3 linked regions of the Ovis aries genome follow. The protein of the gene in region 1 interacts with the protein of each later gene in a biochemical or structural test. Links are inferred from orthologs where the notes say so. Each region holds a gene or a part of one and is shown on either strand. Other genes may lie near its edges. The genes, in order: TBP, DRAP1 and AHR.

Region 1 (3,647 bases):
ACATTTCTATTCTGTCCTGCAATACTGAAAAGGCGGAATGTGTCTGGCACAAAAATAACCCTCAGGAGTTACAAATTAGAAAACAACACTTTTAAAAAAGAGTTTTACTTTTCTGGTAGAAATATAAAAACTGTGGTTTATGGGGAAGAAATTAAACAAAATAAAGTCCAATCAATTGTTGAGGTGGCTTTAACACTTAGTTTTGTCCCTTAAACCAACTTGTCAACAGCAGTAAGTGTTTAAAATCTAAATATAAATAACAGGCAGCACTGCCCGTGTAGCAGCACAGTTTGAGCCACTTACAGGGACGCTCTGGTGTTCTCTGTGCAGAAACACCACCCCTCCGGCACCCCATGGGGGCACGCGTGGAAGAGCTCCACCTGGTGCTGCACCCTGCAACCAGACGCCCATCCTCTACCACGTGGGGCCGCCCACACCACCGAGTGAACCAAAACCGACTGGTTTAAAGGAAAAGGTGGGTGGGGGAGGCAGGAGAACACAGCAGCCATTACGTCGTCTTCCTGAAGCCCTTCAGAATAGGGTAGATGTTCTCAAAGGCTTCATAAATTTCTGCTCTGACTTTAGCACCTACGAAGACAAGTGGAGTACAAGAGTCTGAAATGGCGTTTCTTAACAAAACCACAAAGGCACAATTCTCTCCATGTCCAGTAAGACAGATGCAGGCATCAAAACATTCACAATGGGATCCCTTGCCACCATCATATTTTTGTTTTTAAAGTGGCATTTTCTTAATTTGGCTTTTTGAAAAAAGAATTACCAAAGCAACAAGACAGATGACTGCACCTCCCATGCCTAGTCTGCCCACATGGCAGCTGCTGTCTCTGCACCAGGGCAGGGCCCAGCAGGGCAGCGGTTGGCAGTGACAGAGGTCCATTCTCTCAACTGCCGCTTTCAGCCAAGCCTTTTTGCATCTTCTTTTGTTGAGGCAAAATGATAATGCTGAGGGAAACCAAAGTCTTAGACGATGGTACCCAACTTAAAACACCATCTATTATGCAATGTAATGCTCACCTCCACCCCTCCCCGCCAAGGTGATGCTTCCGTCAGCAAGGCTGTGATCTGACTTTCCTCAGCTCACCACCTCTGGTGGATGTTCCCCGTCAGTGTTGAGGAAGAGAGAAAAGCGGCAAAGCTTCTCTGCAAGTCACTAATTAGCTGTCCCAACACTGTGATATTACTTCCAAGTACTGAGAAAATGCCACTCTCGACACTTTCAAAACTTCAACCACTACTTTCTGTTACAACTTACCTGTTAATACAACTTTTCCAGAAACAAAAATAAGGAGAACAATTCTCGGTTTGATCATTCTGTAGATTAAACCAGGAAATAACTCCGGCTCATAACTAGAAGGAAAATAGCAACAACAGTTTGGATTAGCAGCTGCTCATGCCTTTAGAAAACACGAGGACCTGACCAAGGGAAAGCACTGGGCTAGCCACAAACTAAGGAGGGGGTGAAGCCCAGTTCTGCAAGCAGCATTTGGCCAGTGAGGCTGACCTGTCACTAGCACTTGAAGACCAACTAATTCTGTTTCTAATGAATCTGGATTTCCTGACATAAGAACAAGAGTTTTATAAATGTGTTCTGTAGTCTCTGATCTTTTATCAAGTTTCATTCTGGACAAGTTTATATCAACTTAAAAGAGCCCAGTAATTATCCATCTATAAGATCTGCCAGTCACACAGTTGATTTTCTAATCATTCACATCGCATCTCCTTAAAGTGAAATATCTTCTAGCTGCTACGTTTGCTCAGGCAATTTAACCAAAGTGCCAGAAAAGACACTGGTTGGAGACTGAACCTTGCCCTGTTTTATCTGATTAAATGCACTATTGGTACGATTTTGTTCTAACCCTAGTAATCTCACTTTGTTAGATGGAAAACAGGATGTATGACCGTGTTTAACTTACTGGAAAATTCAAGGCAGGCTTCTCTGAGGAAGGGAGACGCTGGGATGGATACATGAAATGCCAGTGGGAGTTTCTTAGGTAAAAAGTGACAGAAGAGTGTGCCAGGGATAAAAGTGGGATGTGCAAGGGTCCTGGTGCAAGAGGGACATGATAAGCCATGGGGCTGCTGTGAGCAGACAGGCTGTGAGAGGTGATCAAGGACCACCTGCCTTTGAAGTCTTCTTCAGGAAGTAGAACAAAAGACTCAAACAACTGGGGGGAAAACTGATACAAGAGGTTGTGGGTTTCATTTGTTCATTTAAAATGTATTTATTGAGCAATAAAATGATGAAACATACAGAAGGGAATCAATTTCATGCCAGTAAAGGGGAGTTCTGGGTGTCACTGAGTTACAAGATAGAGAAGTAGGAGGCTGGTGAGCACAGTAGGTACTACCAAAGAAATCGGGAAGACACTTCAGCAATAAATGTACCTATCAGTGTATCATTTGTTCTTACTAATTATTCAATGGAAAAGACTCTGATGCTGGGAGGGATTGGGGGCAGGAGGAGAAGGGGACGACAGAGGATGAGATGGCTGGATGGCATCACCGACTTGATGGACGTGAGTCTGAGTGGACTCCGGGAGTTGGACAGGGAGGCCTGGCATGCTGCAATTCACGGGGTCGCAAAGAGTCGGATACGACTGAGCGACTGAACTGAACTGAACTGATTATTCTGCTTAAGTTTTACCATGAACAATGTTTAAATAGATCATAACTTTAAATTGTTGACAAAAGCAACCACCCCATGTATTTCAGACTTACCTACTGAATTGTTGGTGGGTTAGCACAAGGCCTTCTAACCTTATAGGGAACTTCACATCACAGCTCCCCACCATGTTCTGAATCTTGAAGTCCAGGAACTTAGCTGGAAAGCCCAACTTCTGTACAACTCTGGCATACTTTCTTGCTGCTAGTCTAGACTGTTCTTCACTAGGGAAGAAAAAGCGAGCTATTCATTCTCAAAGACAGCTGACGCAATTATTTAGACGAGAGAAACTTTCCCACGTCCTTGACAGAAAACTGCAGGCCTACCAAAACGAGTACCTTTCAAGTCACCAAATTATTGATAGCCCCAGATTTCATGGATATGAAGTATAATATCAGCATCACCATTATCATGAATATTGCTGTATTTAAGCCCACAAATTTGTACTAAGATAAAAACCAACAAGCGTCACTTTGATAGGAAAATACTGATGAGATTTATGCTCAAAGAATGTATACACTAATTCCTCTTTTATGGTATGTCCTTCTTTATCCATTCCTAGAACTGACTTGTTGGATAAAATATGACTTAGCAGTGCAGGGCTTCTGTAACAAAAGCAGAATGAAAGCCGTAGCATCATTGTTGACAAAAGGCTATCAAGTGCACAGTCACGAATGCCGAAAGTCTGGCACGTACACACGCTGAGTTACACAGAAATAAGGTTGGAACACACGTCCTAAACTAACGCCTATTGTTAAGAAAATGAAGCCGCCACTGTCTAAGGTGATGAGAATCAACTACTTTAATACGAAAGCAACAGTAACACTGTGTCTGCATTAAAGCAGCAGCCTAGCCCTAGATGCCATGGCACAGCCGTCTCTGTAACATGCAGGCCTGGACAAGGAGCTCCTCTAACCCACCTCTTGGCTCCCGTGCACACCATCTTCCCAGAGCTGAATATCAGTGC
Region 2 (3,634 bases), on another chromosome or scaffold:
TGCTAACCCAGGCCTCCAGGCTGCCCGCAGCACTCCACACCTCCCGCCTGCCTCACCAAGCTGCTTCTCCTGGAAGACACATGTCTGCCTCGTGCGCATAGCTCCAGGGTCTGCTCAGAGTCACTGCCTGCTCACCAGCCAGCCTTCATGGGGCCCCCACCACACCACCTACCTCTGCCCCCACTGCCCCTCCTCATGTCCTTTAAGGCAAGTGGCCCAAGCTCTAGTTTCCCAGACTCATTTCTGTTACCTGTCCCTTTGCAGCAACCCAGAGTGAACAGAATGGTCTACATCAGAGAGCCAAGAAGAAGTCATTCAGAGAAGAGGAACCTACCCACGGACACACAGCACCATGAGACAGGCTGTCCCCCAGCATGACCGGCACCAGCTGGCTCAGACCCTCTGCCGCTCTGACCGGCCTTCCTTCCATTGGCACCCCTGGCCCTGCGCTGGCAGAACTGTGGCCTCCAGCCCCCCCTCTTCAGTCAGCTGCTGCCCAGCCCCCCGGGGCTCTGGGTCCCAGCTCAGCATCAGGAAGGAGGTGGAAGGAGAGAAGGAGGCCACAAACCCTGGACAAAAACCGGGACAGACGTGAGTGTTCCCTTTTGTTATTATTTTATTAATAAATTTAAGAACAGCTCTATGGTCTCTCTTCCCCCCAGAGCAACTAAAACAAACTAAAGGGGGTGTGGCCTGGGGGGCAGAGGGCGCTAGGAGTCATAATCCTCTTCTTCCTCTGCGTCAGGTGCTGAGGGGCCCGGGGGTGCTGGGGGCAGAGGCAGGGTCGAGGTGAAGGGCATGAAGGGTGTCGGGGGGCTGCAGGGGAGAAAGCAGTAAAGAAAGATCAGGCCACTCTCTGGTGCCCATCCCCACCCACTCAGCCCCACCTGGGCATCCCCGGAGCCCACTACCCTCTGTACCAACAGGGAGCAAGCCCAGAGAACGGAAGGACCCAGGGCAGGTCACACAGCCCCACCTAGCAGAAGAGGACCTTCTGAGAGTACAGTCCCCAGCCTTGAAGTCCTTCTTAGTTCTTCCCCTACCATCCCCCCAGTCTGCCATGACCAACAAAACCAAGTGGCTAGGGAGGCCAGGAGGGAGGCCAGAGTCAGTCTTGGGGTCAGTGGGCCCCTTGGTGCCACTTACCTCTGAAAGTGGGCAGGGGGGTGGCTGGCCTGGGGTGGGACCTGTGGTGTCTCCTCTTCTCCGTCACTGTCTGTATCCTCAGACTCATCCTGAGAACAAGGCAGGACTTAGAGACTAGAAGGGCAGGGCCCCATCACTGGAAAGCAGGGACAGGAGGCTGACCTCACTAACCCCAATTTACAAAGAAACCAATACAAAGGTCACAGGTGAGGGACCAGGCCCCCAGCCAGCTCATCCTGGCCTGGTATAGGGCTGCCCTGTCCACCCTATGGGCCAGAAGCCTAGGGCCTCACTCACCTCCTGCTCTGAGTCCGTCCCTGACAGCTTCTTGTCCTTGCCTTTGCTTCCCATCCCACCGTTCTTCCGGCCACTGCTGCCTGGCTTCCGGCCCCTTCGGGAAGGTACAGTACATCTGCCCACAGGTCTCCCCACTCCTTCACCACTCCCCAGCCATCCCCAAGTCCAGGGGCCTTGGCCTTCCCCACCTGGACACTGGTCCCTGGCACCCTACCTGCGGGGACCCTTGTCCCCATCCATGTGGTTGTCTTCTCCATCCCCCTGCATGTCAGGCACAGATGCCACCAGGTCCTTCAAGAAGTCAAACTGCTGCTCCAGCTCAATGCACTGTTTCCTGGAAGAAGTGGGAAGGGGTTGGCACTCGGATGAGGCCCAGACATCTGGGCCCTCAACAAGGGACAGTACGGACTCTGTGGATGTCAGGGGAATGGAACCTGGAAAATTTCCACCCCAACCCTCCCCCTTGGCCAGAACATCCTAATCCTCCTCCTCAAATCCACAGATCTCACAGCAGCCTACCAATTCCTTATCAGGGCACAGCCTCCCCCAGGCGTGTGAACTGGAGGAAGACCCCCAACTGGGCCCTCTAGGATCGGAGCCACTCACAGGTGGGATGTAGTCATGGTCTTGGCGTTTCGGGACTGGGTAACTTGGCATGCTTTCTTCAACAGAGACTCCAAGAAAAGCTCGAGCGCCCGAGCTGAGGAGGGTCAAGGAGAACGCAGGGTGGTGGCCCAGTCCACAAAAAGCGACCCCGGGGCTGCCGGGCTCCCCCACTCCCCCATCCCGACAGCTCCCGACAGGATACAGATGATGACAGGCACGGCCGCCGCCACCTTCCCAATCTCTTCATCCGTCTGCATGATCTTCTTGATTCGTGCCTGGGGAGGGGGCAGACAGCTCGGACCCCGTAGCCTCCGTCCCAGAAAGGGTGCTTAAGCCGGGCAGAGAGAGGGAGCATCCCGGGAGAAAGGGGGCGGGGGGCACCCACGCTGGAAGGGCACGGAAGGGGGCGGGGCGTACGGGGCCCCGAACACGGCGATGCGCCCGCCTCCCTAGTCCGGCCTGGGCCGGAGCTTCCCGAGAGCCCGGCCCGTTCCTCTGGGGCCCGCTCACGTGCTCACCGGCGGGAACCGCGCGTTGTACTTCTTCTTCTTGCTCGGCATCTCGGGGCCTCTCCCGCCGCGCCGGACCCAGCGCCGCCGCCCGCAGCCTCCCGGCACCCGGGCCTGCTCTTAGCCCGTCCGCCGCGGTTCCCCCGGGTCCTGGTGCCGCCGGCTCCGCCCCCAACGCTTCCTACAGGGTCCTAGCGCCGCCGGTCAGGACGCCGCCGGCAGGGCCCGAGCGCCCTCCCCCTTAGAGCCTCCCGGGCTTTGCGCGTCCGTCCGGGGCGGAACCGCCACTCCCGCCCGCCCCCAAGACCTGAAGAGCGAACGTTAGCTCCGCCCCCCAAGGCCCGCCCCTCCTCGCCTTCCCTGATGGCCCCGCCCCCATGGCCCCGCCCCTTCCCGGCCCCGCCCTGTGCTGCGTTTGTCTATAAAGTTCTTGTTGAGGCGCCGGGGTACTAAGATGGCGGCGGCGGCGGCAGCCGTGGCGGGGGCGGGGCGCGGCGGTGGCAGCGGCGCAGATCCCCGGCAGGAACGGAGCCGGGCCCGGGGCTGGCCCGGCGCCGAGCGCAGCGAAGGCCGGAGGTGACGCTGGGGTTGGCGGGAGGGGGCAGGACGGGGGCGCAGCTCGGGCCGTGGGCACTAATGGCGGCGGGCGCGGCGGGGCGGGAGGCAGGCTCTCCTGCAGCCTCTATCCAGCCGGGGTTCGAGTCCAGGCACCGCCCCGTTGGTCTCGGATCGGACACTGCCCGTTTCTCGCCTCAGTGCCCTCGTCTTTAAGTAGGTTGGATAACGCTCGCCCGGAGGCCTGGCCCCATGGGCCCTGCCTCGGTGCGGCGAGGACGTGTGCTTTGCCTCCCTCCATTAAATCCCAGCGCCCGGGAGAGCGGCCAGGCTCTGGCAGGGCCAGGAGGCGTAGCTGGGCCGGCGGTTCCCGCATTTGAATTGCCGTTTCGGCCCTATCACTCACTGAAGGTGTGACCTGCAGTGAGCCCCTTCTCTCTGAGCTTCGGTTTCCTCGTTTGTAGGTCAAGGAGAGCAGTAATAACACTAACTACATTTATATAGCTTTTGTTCCACCTCAG
Region 3 (3,747 bases), on another chromosome or scaffold:
ATCTTTAATAAAATGGTAACAAGAAGCCCCAAATGTTAAACTTTAAAATGAATACAAAAATTAGAGCATTTCATTGAAGTCACCTAGGTCCTGTGTAACATACTTCCTGAAATGCAATAACTTAAAATTCTCAGGTTTTCTAACTATACAAATAAAACCTATGATATACATATATATATTATACATTATGTCAAGTGTACTTTTGTATTAACTAAAATACACAGAGGTGTCTGTGATGCCTTTCAATTTTAAATAACCATCAAGGACCAAGTCAAATTAGACAAGCACATTTTTTATAAGAAACCATTCTATAAAACACAAGTATTGTAAACCAATGTCAACAGAATTGCCAAGATAAAAACTGCTGACTTGACAGTATTCCTAATGTCAACCACGCTGCAGGATAAGTCTTCCAAATTTTAATCAGTCTATTTATAGATGAATATCCTCTGTTGATGCCAAGTCTAAATCTGAAGGACTGCAATCACTGAAATTCTAAAAGGAAATTAAAACCCCAGAATACTGAAACCTTTAAACTGGTCTTTAATATTAATTTTAAACTGCTATTTTTCTGGTTTGGATTAGTGACCTAAATTTAGTCTTAAGCCACATGCACACTTGTGATTTGTTCTGAGTAACCGTTTAAAGTGTTCTTAAAATTGTTTATGAAAGTTTGAAAAATGTGAAGTAAAATAACTCAAGGATAATAATTAGGAATAAACACATGAACATTGCCAACTCGAAAAAGTAAATCTGTGTTAAGCATGGATTTTTCTTTTTTTTTTCTGAAAAAAATTAAAGTATTTGCCATAATCACATAAATATCCCACCAAAACAAACAAACCTAAGTTTGTACTTTATCAGAATTGACCAAACTTTGAAGTAGAGGGAAAAGGGAATTAAGAGAATGATGCTAAGAATGAAAATGTCTGTTTCAATAATTCCATCTCCAAATTATTTGCAGACCCTAAAACCACTTCCAAAGTGATAAATCTCCCCCAAAAGATGACTTAAAATACAAATCTTCTACTGTATCCTGGCTACTACACTCACTCAAAGCTGCTATCACCTCTATACATTTTATTGATATGTTCACGCTGAGCGCTACAAAATTACTGCCAAATAAGTAAATAAGAGTATAACAGAAAGCCAGTTTCAGGGAACCAAAAAATACCTTCAGAGGCACTCAGCCCCTTTCTTGCACACAGCACGTGTTTAGCTATTTAAAGCATCTCGCCCTACCAGGAGTAAGAATGGTGACCGTCCTCTAACCTAACAGAGGAGGATATTAAATGTGAAAGGGGATTTCAAGACGGGCTTAGGTTAACTAATCCACCAGCCCCACAGGGCAGAGGAGAGCTGTTAACAAATTAGGACCACAGCACAGTGAACAGCGCTGCAAATGGCTGGAGGTGTGAAAGGGTGCTCTGGAGAAGGGGTTCGGGGGGGGGGGCAGAGAACGGGGGGCACAATTTTTAAAATGCAATCATTAATCACGGAAAAATCCAAGGCCTGGGGTTCTCGACCGGCCTCCAGATCTCGATTCCACAGACTGCACAGGGAAGGGACCTAATCCCCTGGCCTCGGGGATTTGGGGGCGGGGTGCGGCAGTGTCCCGCGCCTGAGCGCCCACCTCCCCACAGCACAGAGGACAGGCTCCGGAGACTCACGTTTTCTGCACCGGCTTCCGCCGCTTACGACTGGCGTAGGTGATGTTAGCGCTGCTGCTGTTCATGGTGCCTGGCTGGCTGCGGCTCCTCCCGGGCGCGGACGGCCCTGTCCCCGGGACCCGGCGGCAACTGGGACGGGGTTCCACTTAACCGCGGCTGCTCCACCTGCGCCCTCCCGGGGCGATGGCGGAGACACAGCACCCCAGGAGCCGCAGGGCTTCTGCAGCCCCGCACGTCCAGGTGCGCGGCCCGGGCCTGGCGCCGAGGGGCGAGGGGCGGAGACCGGGGAGGCTGGAGGCGCAGGTGCCGTCTGTACCAGCTGAGGCGGCGCCGCGCTGCCCGCAGGTGAGGCGGCGCGAATGGAGGAGGAGCCTGGGCTGTCTGTTTGAAATCCCGGCCTGGGTCGCTCGCTGTGGCGGCGCGCCCCGTGACCGTCGCTGCGGCCCCTTGGGTGAGGGAGGCGCCGCCGCGCTGCGCTGCTCCCGGGATTTCCCCGATCCCGGGTGCTTCCCGCCTGCGGAGCTCGGACTCCGGCCGCTGCTACGGGTGCCACCAGCTTCCGCTCGGCTATGCGGCTACCTCTGGTCTGAGCCGGTGGTCCCAGTCACGCTTTCAGAACCTAGCGTCAAGTGGACTCGCCCTGCGATGCCTCCCGCTGCTGCTTGCACCGGCTGAATAGCAGAAGCGCCCCCGACCCCTCTCCAGCCCCGCCCCGCCCCTCGTAGCCCCGCCCCATCCTACTTGGCCCCGCCCTCCGCTATATTTCCCTTGAGGGCCCCACCCTCCCGGCACGTGATGACGTAAGGCGTAATGACCCCCACCCTCTCCAGTAGCCATCTTCTTGAGGTCAAGGGGAGGAATCTGTGGACACATTTCCAGTCCATAAAGACATGTGACGACAAATTATGTGTAGCCAAAGTCTTTGTAATCAGACAACCTCAAGGAAAGAAATGCCAAGTAGTGAGCTTAAATTCACCTTTGCAAGAGACAGTGAGTCAGCCAACTTTTGGCTAAGCATTACAGTGAGCTGGCAGATAACCTGTGGAACTATAAATCTTCCTAGAGGAGAAGGCTTCAGGAGGCCACATCTCAGTTGAACTTGAAGGCTAGGCATTTTTCTTGTCTTTTTGTTTTGAGTTTGATTTTTGTCTCCGTACAAGACAGTATAGTATCTTTTCCCCAGGCAGAATAACTGTTACACTACAGTCAGATTTCAGGAAGGTGGGAAGGCAGGCAGCAGGAGGCATTTGAGAATAAGCAGTCTGGTATAGCTGGAGAGAGAGAAGCTGGAAGTGAAATCCAGGAATCTAGGGTCAAATCATAAAGCCTGATCAAGAGTCCACATATTATTCTGCAGTCAGTGGAAACCTTTGAATGATCCACAGCAGGCAAGAGACATTCTAGTGTTTTGGAAGTTTTAAATGACAGTGCAAGCTGGATTACAGGAGAAAAAGACTGGATGCCGAGAGAGTAGTTAGAGTTGTTGAAGTAGTCCAGGTGAAAGTCCAGGGAAGTGACAGTGGGATGGAGGGGAAAAAGAGCAGATAATAAGGAAATAGACAAACAAGAGAGAGCAATCTCAAGTACCTCCAACATTTCTGACTACTCCTGTGCCTTTACCCAGAAAAGTAAACACAGGAGTGTGTTTTGCTTGTCAGGAGAAGGGCAATCAGACTAAGAAGTCTAGATGAAATCTGGCACCATGTCCATTCCTACATTTCAAAATGTCATCAAGCCATTTCCATCCGGTGAGTTTGTTACCTCACATTCAGAACATCAATAAATTGAACATTGTTTTCTTTAGCTGAAACCTCACTGTCATATACTCAACCATTATCCTATCAACCCTATGAAATATCTTCAACTCTTCTACAACTTACATCTAAATATTCCAACAAATACTATTTAATTTTGTGTATTGCAACATCCCTAATTCATCTTCTGCCACGTTATTCTTCAATAATAACACAAAAAATGCCCAACTCAAATGCTTTATCATTTGAGATTCCTATCCAAATATGGCGTGCTTCCCTCCTAGCTCAGTTGGTATAGAATCTGCCTGCAAGGAGGGAGACCT

Evidence for each region.
Region 2: the proteins of TBP (region 1) and DRAP1 are reported together in a solved structure, tested with the Homo sapiens proteins (2 studies listed by BioGRID, with this or other methods). The link is inferred for Ovis aries from reciprocal best matches to the Homo sapiens genes TBP and DRAP1.
Region 3: the proteins of TBP (region 1) and AHR form a complex in vitro, tested with the Homo sapiens proteins (2 studies listed by BioGRID). The link is inferred for Ovis aries from reciprocal best matches to the Homo sapiens genes TBP and AHR.

The regions. Positions count from the first base shown.
Region 1 is NC_056061.1:91,748,245-91,751,891, reverse strand, and holds part of TBP (TATA-box-binding protein), read right to left. Parts: coding exon 3,601-3,647; intron 2,905-3,600; coding exon 2,737-2,904; intron 1,366-2,736; coding exon 1,271-1,365; intron 589-1,270; coding exon 509-588; 3' UTR 1-508. UniProt on the Homo sapiens protein: The TFIID basal transcription factor complex plays a major role in the initiation of RNA polymerase II (Pol II)-dependent transcription.
Region 2 is NC_056074.1:40,464,093-40,467,726, reverse strand, and holds DRAP1 (dr1-associated corepressor), read right to left. Parts: upstream 2,742-3,634; 5' UTR 2,610-2,741; coding exon 2,568-2,609; intron 2,325-2,567; coding exon 2,252-2,324; intron 2,144-2,251; coding exon 2,050-2,143; intron 1,778-2,049; coding exon 1,658-1,777; intron 1,538-1,657; coding exon 1,444-1,537; intron 1,236-1,443; coding exon 1,147-1,235; intron 817-1,146; coding exon 711-816; 3' UTR 599-710; downstream 1-598. Other genes in the region: C21H11orf68 (UPF0696 protein C11orf68 homolog), read left to right, coding at 3,013-3,134. UniProt on the Homo sapiens protein: The association of the DR1/DRAP1 heterodimer with TBP results in a functional repression of both activated and basal transcription of class II genes.
Region 3 is NC_056057.1:26,779,310-26,783,056, reverse strand, and holds the start of AHR (aryl hydrocarbon receptor), read right to left. Parts: upstream 2,348-3,747; 5' UTR 1,736-2,347; coding exon 1,671-1,735; intron 1-1,670. UniProt on the Homo sapiens protein: Ligand-activated transcription factor that enables cells to adapt to changing conditions by sensing compounds from the environment, diet, microbiome and cellular metabolism, and which plays important roles in development, immunity and cancer.